4 linked regions of the Danio rerio genome follow. The protein of the gene in region 2 interacts with the protein of the main gene of each other region in a pairwise test. Links are inferred from orthologs where the notes say so. Each region holds a gene or a part of one and is shown on either strand. Other genes may lie near its edges.

What was found.
Region 1: the proteins of mad1l1 (region 2) and bag5 interact in binary tests that used the Homo sapiens proteins (3 or more experiments, as listed by UniProt). The two-hybrid records come from large-scale screens. The link is inferred for Danio rerio from reciprocal best matches to the Homo sapiens genes MAD1L1 and BAG5.
Region 3: the proteins of mad1l1 (region 2) and si:dkeyp-20g2.1 interact in binary tests that used the Homo sapiens proteins (3 or more experiments, as listed by UniProt). The link is inferred for Danio rerio from reciprocal best matches to the Homo sapiens genes MAD1L1 and CCHCR1.
Region 4: the proteins of mad1l1 (region 2) and tex11 interact in a two-hybrid assay, tested with the Homo sapiens proteins (2 studies listed by BioGRID and IntAct). The two-hybrid records come from large-scale screens. The link is inferred for Danio rerio from reciprocal best matches to the Homo sapiens genes MAD1L1 and TEX11.

What each region holds. Positions count from the first base shown.
Region 1 is NC_133188.1:17,741,938-17,746,413, forward strand, and holds part of bag5 (BAG family molecular chaperone regulator 5), read right to left. Parts: intron 2,114-4,476; coding exon of another isoform or gene 2,083-2,113; exon of another isoform or gene 2,066-2,082; intron 1,745-2,065; coding exon 1,219-1,744; 3' UTR 1-1,218. UniProt on the Homo sapiens protein: Co-chaperone for HSP/HSP70 proteins. It functions as a nucleotide-exchange factor promoting the release of ADP from HSP70, thereby activating HSP70-mediated protein refolding.
Region 2 is NC_133176.1:11,252,190-11,256,665, reverse strand, and holds part of mad1l1 (mitotic spindle assembly checkpoint protein MAD1), read left to right. Parts: coding exon 1-15; intron 16-1,087; coding exon 1,088-1,169; intron 1,170-1,342; coding exon 1,343-1,473; intron 1,474-1,553; coding exon 1,554-1,668; intron 1,669-4,476. UniProt on the Homo sapiens protein: Component of the spindle-assembly checkpoint that prevents the onset of anaphase until all chromosomes are properly aligned at the metaphase plate.
Region 3 is NC_133180.1:24,161,824-24,167,042, reverse strand, and holds the start of si:dkeyp-20g2.1 (coiled-coil alpha-helical rod protein 1), read left to right. Parts: upstream 1-2,191; 5' UTR 2,192-2,358; coding exon 2,359-2,422; intron 2,423-5,219. UniProt on the Homo sapiens protein: May be a regulator of keratinocyte proliferation or differentiation.
Region 4 is NC_133189.1:37,606,393-37,610,868, forward strand, and holds part of tex11 (testis-expressed protein 11), read left to right. Parts: intron 1-790; coding exon 791-844; intron 845-921; coding exon 922-962; intron 963-1,041; coding exon 1,042-1,128; intron 1,129-1,235; coding exon 1,236-1,306; intron 1,307-3,347; coding exon 3,348-3,464; intron 3,465-4,476. UniProt on the Homo sapiens protein: Regulator of crossing-over during meiosis. Involved in initiation and/or maintenance of chromosome synapsis and formation of crossovers.

The sequences.
Region 1 (4,476 bases), on a different chromosome or scaffold from region 2:
GACAATACATCATTGCAATTTTTGATTCCCCATCCACTTTGAAATTTGACAAAACTGCAGGAATGGTTCAAATGTTTCTCTCGCATGCTTTTTCACAGTTGTCTTCTTTAAAAGACAAGTGTGTAAATTCATGTTGAAAACAATTCTTTCTTTCCTGGCTTGAACACCCTAAAATAAAAGCCATTGTGACAGAAAATACACACTTCACTTTTAAACTGACATTGCAAAGCAGTGTTTATTTCAATGCAATGTCCTTAAATTAAACTGGGGGTTATATGTAGAAGTTGCTTGAAAACCAAAAATAATGTTCCAACATGTGGGGTCAGTCGTTGTTTATATGCAGGGTTTATATATGAAGAGCTCGGGTTCTAACTGCAGCTATGAACACTAAGCTTGTCTGACCTTTTAAAGTGATGGTTCACCCAAAACTGAAAACTGTTCTTTTTCTTGTTGTAAATATTGTTGCAAGTGTTTTCTTTTTTAACAGTTGATTGCAAAAGAAATCATTTTGAAAAAAAATATATAATAATCTGGATATTCTCTTACCATTGACTATAAGTTCTATTATTTGTTTTTTCCACTATGGAATTTGATGGTTTTAGGTTTTCAGCTGTCAAAATATTGTCTTTAGTGTTCAAAAACCAGAGGAAACTTTTGTTTGGGTGTGTTTGGAATGGTGAGTAAATCTTAATTTTTGGGTGAACTATCACTGTAATTATCTGGAAATGGCCTCATTATGAGTATGTTGTGGTCAAATCAGGGAATGATGTGTTACCAAATGGGTTATAGTTGACAAGACTGAAGCGCTGACGTGTTCACACTGCGAAAAAGACAACATGTGCTCCACACAGGCATGTGGTAAAGCAGAAAGCAGATTTTGGCAGCAGAACAGGGTTTAGCACCACACCACACCAACCAACAGCTCAGATTCAACCAAAAAGATCATGGATTATTGTCAGGAAAACAAAAGCTTCATATGCAGTAGTAACTGCAACTCCTGCCAGAAGATGGCTGTTTTCAGGGACCAGTAAAGGGCCAACAAAAGCAGCAGGTACAGTGCATCATGGGTAACAGTGTCGCTACCCATGGCGATACACAGTCTTTTATATACAAATTAAAAATTTCACCCATGGCCTGTATGGTTGCCAAGGCCGTGCTAGTCCTAATATGTTGCACATTTGCTGATCTTTAATCAGGGCAATCCAGTGTCTTATCCACTCAGTACTCCCACTCATCCGTCTTCATATCCAGATAACTAAGAATATTCTGGGCATGTTTAACAGCTTGCTTACGGGCAGTTTTGGTCCCCTGGTCACCCTGAGGGTCCACAGCGTCAAGAGCCAGAAGTTGTTTGGTCAGTAGCTCCTCCAACACCATGTAGCTCTTGTCGGCCCTTTTGCCATCGAAGCCCAACACCTGGGCCTGCAGATCACACAAACTGCCCAGCACTCGCCACACGGCTGCATGAGGTGGAGGTTCATCTGGCCCTGGATTACGTCGTCCTAGTGCTTCCCAGAGGTCTAGGAAGGTGATGAGCGCCTGCACCTCTAGCACAGCCCTGCGTCGCGCCTCCCGGATGCAGGGATTTCGGCCTGTATTTACCTGGTCCAGATGGTTAAGGAGACCCTGCAGCTCTATTCCCTGTCCAGAAGCTCCATGCCGAAGCACCTCTTCTCGCAGCACTGACACACGACCCCTGATAGCCTCAATTTCACGAATAGAGTCATTCTGTGCTAGATCATACCTGAAAGAAAAAAAATTGTAAGTATATTATTGGAAAAAAGATGCTTTTTAATTCATCCAAGTAAATAAATTTTATTCAAATATATACATGCACCACAATTACTCCATAACTACTCAAAAGTTTGAAATAACTTCCTTTTGTTATTTGATTAGGCTTTTTATCATAAAATGAAACTGTATAAATGCTACTGTATGTTAAGAATTGCATTATAAACATATTCTTTATTCTTATTGTAATACTAAGAAGGTTTACATAGCACATAATAAATAGCTGATGTAATCCAGGTCCCCGTATGAATAAAATAAATATAACAAGAATTGTTAGTGCTCAGTGCTCACCTATTTAAGGTGGTCAAGAGTGCTTAACGTGCTGCAATTTAAGAAAACACATGCAAAAACAAAAAACATTAGCAATTAAGAAAAGACACAAGCTGCAAATCCTCAAAGCAAAGACAGTAAAAAACACGCTGCCGTTTTTCACAACACAAACAATTAATGAAATCGAGCTGCCTTTTCTCACAACACTTCCAAAAAGAACGAAACACAATGAAAATGTTTCAAGGGTACCGAAAAACGTGACAAACATAACTGTATACTCAGTGAAGTTGTAAGTGATCTTTGAAAGGGGAGTTTTTTGTTTGTTTATATTAACATCTTGATTCCCTTGTTTTTTGCATTTTATTAGCCTAAATAACCAGAACCTAAATAGCCAGGTCCCCTTAAAACATTTTCACTGTGTTCCGACCTATTTGAAAGTGTTAAAAAGAAAATGCAGCACATTTTATTCATTTATTTGCATTGTGGGAAAATGCAGCCCTATTTTTATGTGTTTGCGTTGTGAGGATTTGCAGCACGTTTGCTGTCAAACAGATGAAGATCTTTTCTAAATTTGCTGGCATGTTTGTGTATTTGCATGAGTTTTCTTAAATTGCAGCACATTAAGCTTTCTCTGCCACCATACTTTTTTTTCTAAAAATTAGGAACAAATAAAAATAAAACAAAAAAAAGTGTTTTAAAACAAAATTTGCAAATCCATGTACAAATCACATAAGGCTTCTATTTCATATTAATGACATTATGCTTACTTCGTTACAAAATTTTAGACTTCAGTGTCACAGACTTTTTTATAATATAAAAATCTGAATTATTAAACCTACTTTAAAATTATTTTCTTTTGTAAATATTTCCCAAATGATGTTTAACAGAGCAAGGAAATTTTCACAGTACCATATGTCTGATAGTATATTTTCTTCTGGAGAAAGTCTTATTTGTTTTATTTCAGTGGGAATAATACTAATTACCCTGACCTGCCTAGTTAACCTAATTAACCTAGTTAAGCCTTTAAATGTCACTTTAAGCTGTATAGAAGTATCCTGTAAAATATCCAGTAAAATATTATTTATTGTCATCATGGCAAAGATAAAATAAACCAGTCATTAGAGATGATTTATTAAAACTATTATGCTTAGAAATGTGTTAAAAAAATCGTATTCCCGTTGAACAAAAATTGGAGAAAAAAATAAACTGGGGGGCTAATAATTCAGGGGGTTTAATAATTCTGATTTTTGATTGCGTATGTGCGTGTGTGCGTGGTTCAATGCAGTCCCATAGCTTTAGAAATGGATTTTTAACCTTTTCCAGACTGGTAGATCTCAATAAAAATCTTTTGGATCTTGGCATGATGTCTAGCTTTTGAGGATCTTTTAGACTACTTTACTTTGTCTTCACTTTTTAGGTCCTATTTAAGCTATTTTTTAAATTGTAAACAGGTGTGGCAGTAACAAGTTCTGGGCGTGGCAAGAGAAATTGAACTTTTGTTGTGATAAATTAGCATTAAGTTATCTTTAAATCTTATCTCCCTTAATGATAAAAATCTTTATTAAAAAAATGTGTGATGTGTTTAATTGTGCTATCTTTGACTAACATTTAAAGGACACCTATGGTGAAAAATCTACTTTTCAAGCTGTTTGGACAGACATGTGTGTAGGTATAGTGTATTGACCATCATATTGGGATGATATAAACACACACAGTCCTTTTTTTTCAATTTAACAACATAAAAAAGGTTGAACCAATTGGAGTGGTTTTCAGAGCAACCGCAACTTGACGTAGGAGTGCAGTCCCCCAGCCCAGTTTGTTGTTTCACGTCTGCCATTTTCAGCGTGTGAGTCAAAGCGATGTCACTAAAGGAACACCCTTGCTCTATTTTTATATGTAAGGCTCATTAGGCTCAACACAAGATGAACATACACCACTTGATCGCTCTAATCAGAATTATTGTTTGTAACTTTAGGTAGGTTTGCAAATATGAGTACTTTTCATTGTGTCTACCTTAAACTGGAAAGTGCGAGCACGTTGCCTCAGGTGCACGTCTCTTCATTGGAAATAAAATAACAAACTTGCCTGCAGGAAGCACACCATAAGCGCCGCTCTGCGTGGCCCGACACTGAGCATGCATTTTAGAATTCTAAACATAGGTTTCTATCAGGGTACACACAACGGCGCTTCAAGTCGACGGCTGGCCGATTGGGCACAATTCATGCTTCTGCCGCGTCACAGAGCGTCATCTAAACAATTAAATTTAAATAACATCTGAATGTGTGTGTCTGGTGTGCCGTGTCGCGGCTCCGAGCGGCGCATCTGGTGCCTCAATCAAAGTTAATTCAGTGTGCTTGGTTATTAGTCTCAGTGTACAAGCTCGGCACTTTAAACTAGCACACAGTTGGCTGTAAA
Region 2 (4,476 bases):
GGATGTGCAGCGCAAGTATGAACTCAAAAAAACACCACATGGTTTACTTCATTTTCTCTCTTAAATATAAATTAAAATATACTGCTGCAGGATGTTGGAAAATTAGTCATTTCCATGTTTTGTTTTGCTGCGATATGAATACAATTTCAGCATAATTTAAATTTATTTCAGTATTATTATTGACTAATATGAAACTGTTCATATAGTTATTTTGAATACAGCTTGTTAAGTCATATTTTCTGTCTTTTAGTAGATTTATTATATAGAAGACTTGATTTGTTTACCAAATAAAGTGGATCTAATTGGATTTGCATTATAAACATTAAATACAAGTTAAAAAGGTATTACTTTTTAGCTCATATGTTAAGGTTTTAATTATGAGACCCTCGAAATCATTCCGCATAAATCTGCAGATTTTTTTTAAAGAAATGGCAAAAAAATGTCCGCAGATTCCATCTGGCCCTAGTTATATCTTAACTTTAAACCATTATCCCAGTACTTCTGTGTTATTTGACTTTTTGTAACTTCATAACTAACTCAAAACACTGAAGACTAAATCTCTTTGGATTAATAAAAGTATACAAATCACCATCATTAAAAATTTGTTGCGTGGGTGTTGAGATCCCGATCTTTTAGTGATTAATCGTGCAGCTTACACTGAATGCATTAATGCAGGCTAAATTGTAAAAGAAAACCTCTTTAATAACCTAAGAAACCCACCTCATCCTGAAAAAACCACTACAACTTATGTCAAAACCTACATGCTTTCATAAATGTGATTTGATTGATGTGAGGTGATCTCTCTGCCATCGTTTCAAATTTAGGATTAATCTACAAGTAAAAAAATGTATTAATCCATGGGGCACATGTGTTCACTCCATTATGGTGAAACTCTTCAGTGACTCCAGAAATCTTCTGTGTTCTGAACTGTGGCTCCTGGTAAACTATAATCCCAACATATAAACCAAACATTGCACTTCCTGCAATGGGACTATTGTAGAAGTGCATATTGCAATATCGATGGTGAAACAATATATTGCGCGATATATTCGTAACAGTAAGCATTTTTTGTCTTTGTTGTTAACAGGAAGTTTCAGGACATCAGTCAGAAGTACCAAAATCTGCAGTCCTCTCATTCAACCAGCACAGAGAGCGAACTCAAGATGAAGGTATTTTTGTTTCAGTCTTTTTCTCAATTTCGGTGGATTTTGGAGCACTAAGGGATGTCTGAAGTACTGGTGCTCGAGTGTCAAGTCTAGACTAAAATAAAGCTTGTATTAGCATCATGAAATTGGCTTGTATTTGTGCTCAGCTTGGTCTTATTTGTGCTGTCCATCTGCAGGAGTTGGAGAGGCGTTTGGCTCTTCAGGAACAGGACTCCGTGATTGTGAAGAACATGAAATCTGAAGTGGCCAGACTGCCTGAAATGGAGCGGGAAATTAAACGTCTGCGTGAGGAAAACTCTTTCTTAAGGTATCCGCATTCACTGTCAGACTTTTTCCCTGATGCATGCCTAATGTATATTTAGCACGTCTTCAACTGTCTTTCAAAAGGGAGACAAAAGAGAACAACAGTTTGCTGAAGGAAGAGACCGAGGGCTTGAGGAGGAAGCTGGAGAGGCTGGAGAAAGTGATGGAGGAGAAAATCAAAGTGGAGTTGGAGAAAGAGGTAAACGGTTGCAAAATGTGCAATTAAATAGGTAGTTCAACCTTAGATGAATGTTCTGTTGTTATTTAATCAACCTTTACTTGTTCAAAGCTTATTTGAGTTGAACACAAAAGAAAGTATTTCGAAAAAAATGCTGGTTGTTAGTGTCTATCGAGGTCTATAGTCATTATTAGTTAATGGGTTTTAGAATATCTCAAAATATCTTCTTTTGTGTTCTAAAGAAAAACTAAGTGATTAAAAACTAAATGATGAGGTCATTTCTGTTTTTGCGTGAACTAGGTTTGTCACGATACTGGAATTTGGTACCAATTTGTACAGAAATTTTAAACGCAAAATTTTTATGACTGATTGGCTGTGAAGGTCATCAGTTCACAGAACTCATTGCTGTTTACTGAGTGTAACCACAGGTACTGGGATGCTGGAGCATTTCTAAACATTTTGGTTTATATATAAGCTGACATATGAACGATCCGCTGATGAATTGCGGCTTTGAAACACTCCAGTGTCCCTGTATCTGTGCTTACACTCCGTAAACAGCTGTGCGTTTGGTGAACTGATGACCTTCACAGCCAACCACATTCATTCCTATTGAGCACGTGAATACAGTGGCAAATCAAAAAGGCTGATTTATACTTTCGCCTGGCGCCGCATCGCAGGCCTCCACTTACTGCGCGTGCACAAAACGGACAAGGCTTTTGTACTTGATGCGTTTGCCATTGAGAGATTTTTTAAGACCACAGGGCATGGTCAAAAAACCGAATTGTAAAATCCGACAGATAAACAGAAGTAAAAAGTTTCTGGAACTACGTCATATCATTAATATCACTCAGGATATTTAAACTAATTATTTTTTTATTATTTTTATTTTTTTTTTTAATGATCATAAATTTTTTTATAACCATTCAAGATTTTTGAAATTAAACTTTGATACATCACTTCTTTTGTTCATATCTTAGACTGTGCTACCTATTATAGTTATAAAAATATTGACAACAAACATGGGTTGCTCTTCAAATATATTGTTTATTATGGCAAAATAAAAGCAAAAAAAGTACACTTAAAAAAAAAAAAAAATTCTGCCCACTCCACAGTTCACACATTAGTGTCTTGCTAGTTTGTGTACTATTACATGCTAAAAAGGTAATAATGGTCCGACATTCCTGATCATTATCAAGAATAAAGAAAAGAAATCAGTATATTGTAAACTTATAGGTTCAAATATTCTTCCAGTTATCAAAGAAATAATTTGTTACTTTATTTTAGTTTTGTAACTATTAAATTGTTAATTAAACCACGTAGGTCTCCACTTTTGCCAACTCATCACTCAAGTTTTTATAAACTTTTTAACAAAAACTTTCTACCTTTCCTACTGCTGTTGTAATTTCTGGCCAAGAATTATTGGCCATCTGGTTATCCCTACGGTCATGCATAGATGGATCATAAAGATGTCTGCCAGGCAAACCTGTTTCAGACAAAATCTTTTTTGCAAAGCTCACTCAAATGAACTAGCGGACGCGTCCAGTATAAATCAGTCTTAAGAACATGCTTAACACCACTCAAATGCTAGTGGGAAATGGATGTTTTTAAAATATCAATATCGATTTGTACCGAATTCCGGTATCATGACAACCCTAGCATGAACTATCCCTTTAAACAGGCTTTCTGCAGGGTCTTGAATCCTTAACGTCTTAAATCTCAAAATCAAAATTTTAGGCCCTAAAAAGTCTTAAATTTACTGAAATATTGTGTTGTAGGCCTTAAATCAGTTCTTAATTTTCCTTTATTCGTGTATTTCTACCCAATCTGGTCAAAACCCATACAATCTCCAACAATCCTAATTTTATTTAAAAGGTAATTTTTAACTCTATTTTTAACTCTATTTATCATAATAAATAGATGGTGGTGGATGAAGAGATTCCCCCCAAGAATGTGTAAAGGACTTTGAGTGTCCAGACAAGTGCTTTATAAATGTAAGGAATTATTTTTTTAAAATTTTAATTATTATTTATATTATTAAAATGGTTTAAGTATTTTCCTTACAATAACATTTGTTTAAAAGTTCTCTATGTATTTACTGTTCAGAACACCTACCTGGACCGATTGTTGTGCACAGATTTGGTTTATTATAGTTTTTAAAACTTTTAAAACATCTGATCATTTTTTATTTTAAAGAAAGTTTATGTTATAAAAAAAGTTTATGGATACAAGTAGAGCTTGCTTGTTTTTACACAATATTTAGCTAAGAAATAAAATCTAAAATATTATAATTGTTTATTATTAATGTATTATTGTATTATTAAATGTATTAAATTGTAATTTTTTTAATAGGTCAAATAAAAATCTGTTCCATCTGGGGCATTTGAAATTCCCTAGCATTTAACCTTTAATGATTCTAAACTTTCATTCATAATGGTCTTAAAAGGTCTTAAATTTAACTCGGTGATACCTGCAGAAACCCTGTTTAAAGCAATTCTACTCAGTAAATTTTGAGTTTTTTTTTTCTGTGTAAAAAAACATCTATTGAATGAATAAAACTCCCATTTCACATTGCAAAAGAAATAGCTAGTGATTTTTGTGATGTGCTATCTTTTTAAGTTGCTTTGAATTCCTATCCTTGACTGTGTATTGTTTCTTTTGGACATTTCTACCCAAAATCAAATAGAAAAATGTATAAGAGAATACATTTTATTTAGTATTAGAGGAGTCTCAGTGCAATGTTTCTTTTTTAAATTGTAACATTTACGTTTTCTTTACACACACACACACACACACACACACACACACACACACACACACACACACACACAC
Region 3 (5,219 bases), on a different chromosome or scaffold from region 2:
TATCAGCAGGGATGGGCAAAAATAAATTTAAATGAATTTTAAAATAAATGACCAAATACCTTAATTTTACATGCATCAAAATAAACTACAAAATACAGCAGCCACAAGTATCAAAATAAAATACTGTATTTTGAAAATACTACAAAATACTTTACAAGGCAGTATGACATTTATTCGCAAACGGTCCCATCAACAGGCCTCTTCGATCAATCCTGATCAAATAAATTAATGAGAGCAAAACAAATAAAACAAAATAAATAAAAACAGTTTAATAAAATAAATGAAATAAAGCAAAACAAATCAAATAAAACTAAAAAGTTAAAAAAAAAAATAATAAAATGAAATGTAGCAAAACAAATCAAATACATACAATTTAATAAAATAAATGAAATAAAGCAGAACAAATCAAATAAAACAAAAAAATTAATAAAATTATAATAGAAAATTTTATAAAATTTATTAAAGCATAACATATCGAATAAAATCGAATATAACAAAAATTAATTAAATAATATTTAAAACATTTAATTAAATAATATCTCATTCACCTACTGCACATGAGGAGGTATTCATAAAAATGTAACTTGTGTTTCTCTTTGATTTTAGTATAGATTTTGTACAAATTTTAAGTCCTGTCTTGAAGATGACCTCTTTAATTACTGTAAAAACCATTGGATGCATAAATTGAGTTGGAATATTATACTATATATCTCACTAACTCTATCTATTGTGAAAATTGCCACCATCTCATAGCAATCTTATATTTTAAAGTGATAAAACTTAAAAAAGTTACTTAACATTTTTGTTCACATAATTTACTAAATAAATCTAGCTGTTTAAAATGTAAAGTCACAATATCTAAATCTACTAAAATCTTAGTCTTTCCATAAATAAATGTTGACTTGCTCCCTGCTATTTGTTTGTTATTTTCTTAATACTTGTTGCATCATTTCCATCCATTCTCCAAGCAATTGATCAAATTAATCAATTTTCTAGTCTCGTCTTGGCAAATAACTGAGAAAACACAAATATTAAAGGTCATGTTTTTATGATGTCATCATTTAGACTTCCTATCAGTATTTTACAGTGTTTTAAAAATACACAACATTAAACATAATATTAACCTATTTTTATAAACCACATCAATTACAAATTACTAAATACTATTTTGTATGTGAAATACGCATTTGAAATACTTGTATCATAAATTCTGGCCATCCCTGATTATCGGGACTATAAAAGTGCATTTATCAAAACAGTTAAAAGATTAGTTCAGGAAAAACTAAAAAATCATGTTGTTTTTTACTCTTATTTGTAACAGTTTATTTTGTTGAACAAAAAATAAGATATTTTGAAAAATGTTGAAAACCGGTAACTATTTCCATACTATTAGTATTCCTGTTATTTACTTCTAACATTCTTTAAATTGTCTTTCAAGGGCTTGGATCAACTTGTGGGTGAGTAAATAGTGATAATAATAATTTATGGGAATAATTTTTGGGTGAACTATCCTTTTAAGCTGAATTTAGCATTATATAGAGTGGAAATTCTACCAGAAACGCACATTATCTGTACCTGAAATAAAACATAAATAGAGTGAATAAAAAAAGTATTTCATCCCAAAATGTCTAAAATGGACCGATGGTTGATTTCTGTGAGTTGTTCTGCAAAGGAGTCAGTGTCATTCATTTAGTTTTCAGATTTTCGTTCTTTATTAAAAACCCTTTACAAACTTACAAACCCTGTTATTGTCCTTTTCCTCAGTCCAACTGAACCTACAGCTTTAATCATTTTGTTATGCAAAAAACAGTGATTTAGAAAAACATATTCTTCAGAAATAGCAAAGTTGAAGTTGTTATCATTTACATCAATTAATTGAAAACATGAAATTATATATAAATTCTACAAATAAATGCTAAACATATAATTTAAATTCATTTACAATTGTCCCTATGTTTTGGTCAGTCACATTTGCATTACATTTTGCGTGCCTTCATATGACTCACTTGATGGAGGAAAGGATGCGCTCTATCATTGAATTGTATGATTTTATGCTTGTTTTGTATGGTTTTTTATTTATTTATTTTTGAGGAAGACAAGCTTAAGTCAGGCCCTGTCAATTTTTTTATAAGTGAAAATGTACGTTTCTTGTAGAATGTGCCAAAGACTGCAGGGGGCGCTGTAGTGCCTCAAACCAACCGGAAATCTCCTGTCATGACAACTGCACGCACAGCTTTGAACTCAACGGCGGGGAGAACGAGCACTTTGCAAAACAATGACTAAAAAATCATCAAAGAATCGGATTCGAGCATTTTACACGTTTATGTAGGACCGCTTGTGTGACTTTCAGTGGTTATCATGGATATGCGGAGATCAGAAAGACTGAACGCGCCGGCGGACTTTATGAAAGCTGCTGAAGCAGGTAAACCAACACAATTAACCGAATAAAAGCCACCATATACCAAATAAACAAACACAAACGACTCAACTAGAGCTCTTAAAAAAAACACTCGCTTATCTTTGTGTATAATATTACTGGTTGTAGTGTTGAAGCACAGTATTAGTCTGATGTCAACTAACGTTAAGGTTGCAAAGATACAAACGTCTAGGATTGACAGCAAGTGTGATAAAGCCGTTTAACATTAATCCAACAGCATTTTGATAATCAGTTATTCAATTATAACATTAATACTTATGATTGTTGTGGTAGTTTACATGTCTCAGTTGATTTCCTAGACTACATTGACTATTTGTACTATGCATGCTGTTCAGCATCTTAAAGTGAAGAGTTCAGATGCAAAAAAGAAATTTTCTCCTAAAATGAGCGTTATTTTGCTTTAAAGGCAATATAAATAACTTTTTGGTCACTATAAAAGTAAAATTTCTGAACCTACACACGAGTTGGAGGAAAATGCGCTAGCAACATTTAACTTAGAGGTTTTGGCATCTAAACTCTTGAAGTGAACTTTAAAAGGATTGTAAAAAAAAAAATAATAAAAATAAATAAATATATATATATATATATATATATATATATATATATATATATATATATATATATATATTTCTGTCATCATTTATTCATTTTCCACTTGCTTCAAACCTGATTGAGTTGCCTATTTCTGTTGAACACAACAGAAGATACGTTGAAGAAAGCTGAAAACCAGTAATCATTCACTGTCATAGTATTTTTTTTTTCTACTATAGAGGCCAATTGTTACAGTTTTCAGCCTTTTTAAAATAACACCTTTAGTGTTCAACAGGAGAAATAAACTTGAAATTGTTTATAATTCAGGGTGAGTAGAAAAAATGTAAATAATTTTTGGAGGGAACTATACCGTTATAAAATCTGAACAGATTAGAAATGATAACAACTTTAAATAAGTTCTGTTGTGTCTTTTTTGGAACTTATTTTTAATAAAGAATGCAACACTGCAAAGCAATGAGTACAATACAATTTTAAATTATTGTTATTATTAATTTGTGGTGTCATGGTGGCACAGTAGGTTAGCCTGATCGCCTCACAGAAAGAAGGTTGCTGGTTCTGTGTGGAATTTGCATGTTCTCCCCGTGTTCACCTGGGTTCCCTCTGGGTGCTTCGGTTTCCCCCACAGTGCAAAGACAGGCGCTATAGGTAAATTGAATAAGCTAAGTTGGCTGTAGTGTACATGTGTGAATGCAAGAGTGTATGAGTGTTTCCCAGTGTTGGGTTGCAGCTGGAAGGGTAAAACATATGCTGGTTAAGTTGGCGGTTTATTCCGCTGTTTCAACCCCTGATTAATAAAAGTACTAAGCCAAAAAGAAAATGAAGAAATTCTTATTTTGCATGTTACTCCAATTTCTAGCTGCCAAAATGGTTGTAAAGACATGTTGAGAACAAAATAAAAAAATAAAATAATAATAATACTAAATTAGGGCTAGTCATTGCAGGATGTATTATGGCTGTGAGAATGGTGCTGTGAAATTGGAAGAACTCAGATACTCCCACTTTTAAGGATTAGATTGAGCTGATGACTTCTACTGTATCATATAAACATACTGTATATTGGCAAGACTCGAGGTCTCCACTCTCCACCTATACTTTTCATCAGAAGTGGGGTAGCTTTTTACGGTATTTAGAGAGCATGTATTAGAAAAATTGAAGGGTTGTCATTTTGGCTGTCTATTGTATAATTTTATATTTAATATTTATGTTTTATGTTATTATTTTATTATATTTTGTTTACATTATTTTCCTGAATGTTGATTTTGTATTGTGAATGTTACGTTGTGTGGGGTATAGACGTTCAAAATAAAAAAGTTAATTGACAAAAAATACAAAAATACAAAAATAAATAAATAAATGAAATTAAATAAAAAAGGGGGACAATTAGATGGATGTTGTAGTAGAGAAAGAAAGGAGTGGCCTTGATCATAACAGTATGGCTCATTATTGAAGAATTAAAGGCATGACAGGAGGCCATCTCTTTAGGAAAATATATATTTTTTAAGTCGCATTGCATATGTGATTTGCTCCATTTCATACAGTTCCCACACTTTTTGAATCCAAGCATTATATGATGGAGGTTCAGAATTTAGCCATATGCATGTGATGCACTTCAAAGCTGCTGCAAGTAGAATTTGTAATAAGTATGTTCTCGATCTGTCATTAAAGCCCTTGGGGCACACACCTTCTGTAGCTCAGCGACTGTGTGATCTTCAGAAAATTGCTTTCATTTTTTTTTTACATTCTTTTTTTTATGTTTTTATTTTTTTTATTAAACATTTTTTATTTTGAACAAAGCCTGAGATCCACAAAATGCTCAAATAAAATAAAGACAATAATACTGTAATAATAGGTACAAAATCATAATTGAAACATATCTCATACAGTCATATTTAACCAAAATTGTACAGTTTTCTTACTGGCATCATTTATTTTATCTGTGGTGTATTCTAAACTAATACAGTCCAGTGCATCAGCTGGAGCAAATGGATACAGCCATATTTTCAGGATGTTTTTTTTTTCAGCATTCAGAACAACTGATAGAATCCTTTGGTTGATGGATAAGGAGAGTGATGAATCGTCCACCATGAGAAAAAACAATGGGTTACGTTGGATCGGAGTTTCCATTAGCTCTAATAGTAGGTCTCGTACCTTGGACCTGAATAATGCAATTTGGGGACATTCCCAGAACATATGTATACAGTTAGGTCCATAAAAATTTGGCCATTGGCAC
Region 4 (4,476 bases), on a different chromosome or scaffold from region 2:
AATTTCAAGACCTAAAATGGCAAACCCTGGCAGTTAAAGTCACTGAAATGCAAGCACTTGTTAATTCAATGTATTATCTTTTTTCAGTTTGTGCTGTCCGACAAGCTTTTTATTTCAATAATGTTTGCATTGGTTTTGTTTCATAGAATTGATTGTGATGCATAAGTAGTGTTGAATAATTCCATGTTATGTGGCTAACAATTGAGCAAAAAGCAAGCGAATAAAAAGGATGTGAATGACAAGTATGATTTTGATCATAATCAGTTTTGGTACAGCATAGTAAACTCTGCAAAACTTATTATATCTCGGCTCATACCAATCATTTGTTATCTTTTGGGGATGTTTAAAGGGATAGTTCGCCCAAAAATAAAAATCCTGCCATCATTTGAACAACTTGTTCAGATCCTGTTAGAGTTTCTTTCTTCTGTTAAACACAAAAGGAAGATATGCATACTGATAAATAGTAGAAAAAAACAGCCATTTACTTGTATAGTATATATTTTTTACTAGTATGGATGTCAATGGCTGTTTTTTCCAGCTTTATTCAGTTTTATTTTATATTCTACAAAAGAAAGAAACTTGAGTGTGAGTAAATGGTGGGAAAATTTTAATTCTGTGTGAACTATCCCTTCAATAACATTCGATTCCATCATGAGCAATTATAAGCATTTACTCTGCAAAAGTAGGCAAGCTCAAGTTTAGACCCTGTTTACACCTGTATTTAGCGTTATTCACAAGAGGGTTTGTGCTGGCTCAAGCTGTTAGAAAATCTGGGCCAATGTTTTTTCAGGTGTTTAGTGCGACTAGCTCTTTCAACACTGGAAAACATCAGCGAGGAAAACAGGTTAGTAGATCAGTGGTACAGAAATTCTGACAAACTCAGCAGCTCCCTTTGTCTCACTTCATCTATTTCTAAAACAGGAATGCCAGCTTGGATATCCTCTTGTCATACCTAAAAACAGGTAGGCTTAACCATCATTTGTCTTTACACTGCTGTTTTATGTCTGCTCTGATTTATGCATACTGTAACTAAATTTACAGCTCTTCAGAAATTATCACAAGTCTGCCATATTCCTGGTCAGAGAGCAGAGCAGCGTTCAGAAGATGCTAACTGGTTCAGGAGAATTGGTGCTCTTTTTATAAACCTCCAACAGTTTGAGAAACATTTGTCTATTGGTAGTTATGTTTGATTGAATGTGCATGTGTTGTAAATTGGCTGTCTTTCTGACTCTCAGCATGGAACTCTGCCCTTCAGTGTGAGCACAGTCCTGTTCGGATGAAGGATTTCTTTCTTCTCTCGTTTCAAGTAAGTTAAGATATAGTCCCTCATAAGCCCTGCCTATACTTTTTTTATACACTACCTGACAAAAACCTTGTTGTATATCCCAGTTGTAAGAGCAACAAATAATAACTCGACTTTAAGTTGATCATTTGAAAAAGTGGTAAAAGGTAGATTTTTCAGATAAATCATCTGTTGAACTGCATCCCAATCATCACAAATACTGCAGAACACCTACTGGAATGCGCATGGACCCAAGATTCTCATAGAAATCAGTCAAGTTTGGTGAAGGAAAAATCATGGTTTAGGGTTACATTCAGTATGGGGGCATGCAAGAGATCTGCAGAGTAAATGAAAACATCATCAGCCTGAGGTATCAAGACATTTGTGCTGCCCATTACATTACAAACCACAGGAGAGAAAAATTATCCTTCCACATCAAGGTTCCTGAAAGCAAAAAAGGTCAAGGTGCTCCAGGATTGGCCAGCCCAGTCACCAGATATGAACAAGATTGAGTATGTCTGGGGTAAGATGGAGGAGGCATCGAAGAGGAATCCAAATAATCTTGATTGACAACTGCATCTTGTTCTCCTGCAAGAACGCTTTCTTTGCCATTCCAGATGACTTTATTAATGAGTTATTTGAGTCATTGCAGAGGTGGATGGATGCAGTCCTCCAAGCTCATAAGAATCATACACAATATTCATTCTTTTTCCACTGCACCATGACTTTATATTCTATACTGTACATTATTTCTGTTAAGTGACAAGACTTTTGTCTAAGCTAAGTTAGACCTTACTGTCCTAATTAAATATCTAAAAATCAAGGCATGATAATACTTTATGTTGGTAAAATACACATAATCTACAGGCCCTTGCCTTTCATATAAGCCAATTCTGATACCAAATGATCAACTAGAAGTTAATATATTATTTGTTGTTGCTAAAACTTGGATAGGCGACAAGACTTTTGTCAGGTAGTGTACAAGAAACTCAAGGCATGTGTACAGTGAACAACATATTTCTATTATCAGTGAGTGCACACACTGTACATGTGTAGGATGCTCACATATACACATAATTATGTACTTAAAATGCCACCCTGGCCATCATTTTTCAATCAAAACAATATAAATTCTGAAGGCTGCAAAGCCAGGATGCTGATTTTAAAACATTTGTGCATGGAGCTTAAATCACCATGAAATTTAAATGAGCTCTTCTTATTTTAATATTTTTATATAGTGGTTCTTCTTATAAATGATGTTTCTGTGCACTTTATTATTTAGTAAAAATCATTTGCCTTCATAATCTTTATCAAATACCATAAACTTCCCTCCCCTCTCAAAGTGACTTTTCTTCACTTCTGGTCACATGGAATGCCATTCATGTCTCATGTATGCTCTGCTTGTATCTATTCAGCAATGTTACTTAATTTTCTTAGCAATGCCCATCTTTCAATGATCCTATCGGTCCTCAATGGATTTATTCATGCATAGCCCTATTTTTTTCTGCTAATTCATTTCATTAATGTATCTATTGTATGTACATAACAATATGGGGAAAAGGACAATATTAACTTCTGTTTCATAGCAACTTTAAATGATATTTACAAAGACATTTTATTATGTATCAGCAAAAATGTATCTTTTAGTGTGCAAGTTAGTTGCTAATATATGGAGTATATTCTCCAGATGCTTTACACTTATTATTACTACTGCTAAATAAGGCAAATTATAATCAGCCAATGACATGGCAGCAACTCAATAGATTGAAAGCAAGTATTAATTTAGCATGCTGTGGTGATGTAGTAGTGTGAGGAATTTCTTGCCATACCTTGGGTCCTTTAGCACTAATCATTGAGCATTGTTTAAAGCCACGGCTTACCTGTGTATTGTTGCTGACCACATCCAACTCGTTATGACCACAGTTTATTTATCTTGTGATGGCTACTTCCAGCAGGATGATACACCTAGTAACTGTATGCTAGGTCATAATTGTGCTAACAGCAATCCACACGCTGACACTGCAGCTTTAGTGAGGTGTAGTTACAGTGAACGTGTGATGTGCAGCTTTCACAGCTGTGTGCTCCAGACCGAGCTGTGTTGATGGGGCAGAAGACGTGCCTGCTGATGTCTGCTGCCGCCTCTCTGGAGATCTGCAGGAGCTCTGATCACACTGAGCAACAGGTGCTTCACTCACTCATTTATAGCACTTCATCTTCTTCACCTGACTAAACAATCAACAGAAGCCAAGAGGCGTTTCACTTAACATGAAGGAGACTGAAGAAACATATTACCACATAAATTCAGAAAATTGATCTATTTAATGCATATTATTGCTGTTTTGTAAACTACAAAGTGACATTTGTTTAAAAATCTGAAAAAAGTATAGTTAATATATAAAACAATTGAGACCTTAGGTTGCAATATTAAAATAGTATTATTTAAGGATTTAATATGTCCATAAACAATAAGAGGGCTTTGTTGTGGTGCAGTGGGTAGCATGATCACCCCACAGCAAGAAGGTCACTGGATCAAGCCTCAGCTAGGTCAGTTGGCATTTCTGTGTGGAGTGTGCATGTTCTCCCTGTGTTGGCGTGGGTTTCCTCAGGGTGTTCCGGTTTCCCCCACAGTCCAAATACATGCGCTGTAGGTGAATTGGGTAAGCTAAATTGTCCGTACTGTATGACTGAATGAGAGTGAATGGGTGTATTTCCCAGTGATGAGTTGCAGCTGGAAGGGCATCCGTTGCATAAAATATGTGATGGATAAGTTGGCGGTTCATTCCGCTGTGGCAACCCCAGATTAATAAAGGGACTAAGCCAGAAAGAAAATATTTGAATAAATGAAACAATAAAATTGGGTTTGATAGTTGGAGACCTTTTAGTCAAAAATAAATCATGCTCCTAAATGTTTATGGATTACTTTTCATTGTTAAAGATGATCTGCCTATTTGTTGATGTATGTATAAATTGTATACACTGTTTATGGGCTTAACAATAAAAAAATAATAGAAATAAAAGGTTTATGGATTACTTTCTTCTTTATCCATTCATTAATTTACCTTCGGCTTAGTCACACACTAAGTATTAAGAACAATTTAGTTCACCCAATTTACCTGTAGTGGTTGTCTTTGTACTGTGGGGGAAACTGGAGCAAACGGAGCTAACCCATGCCAACACAGGGAGAATGTGCAAAC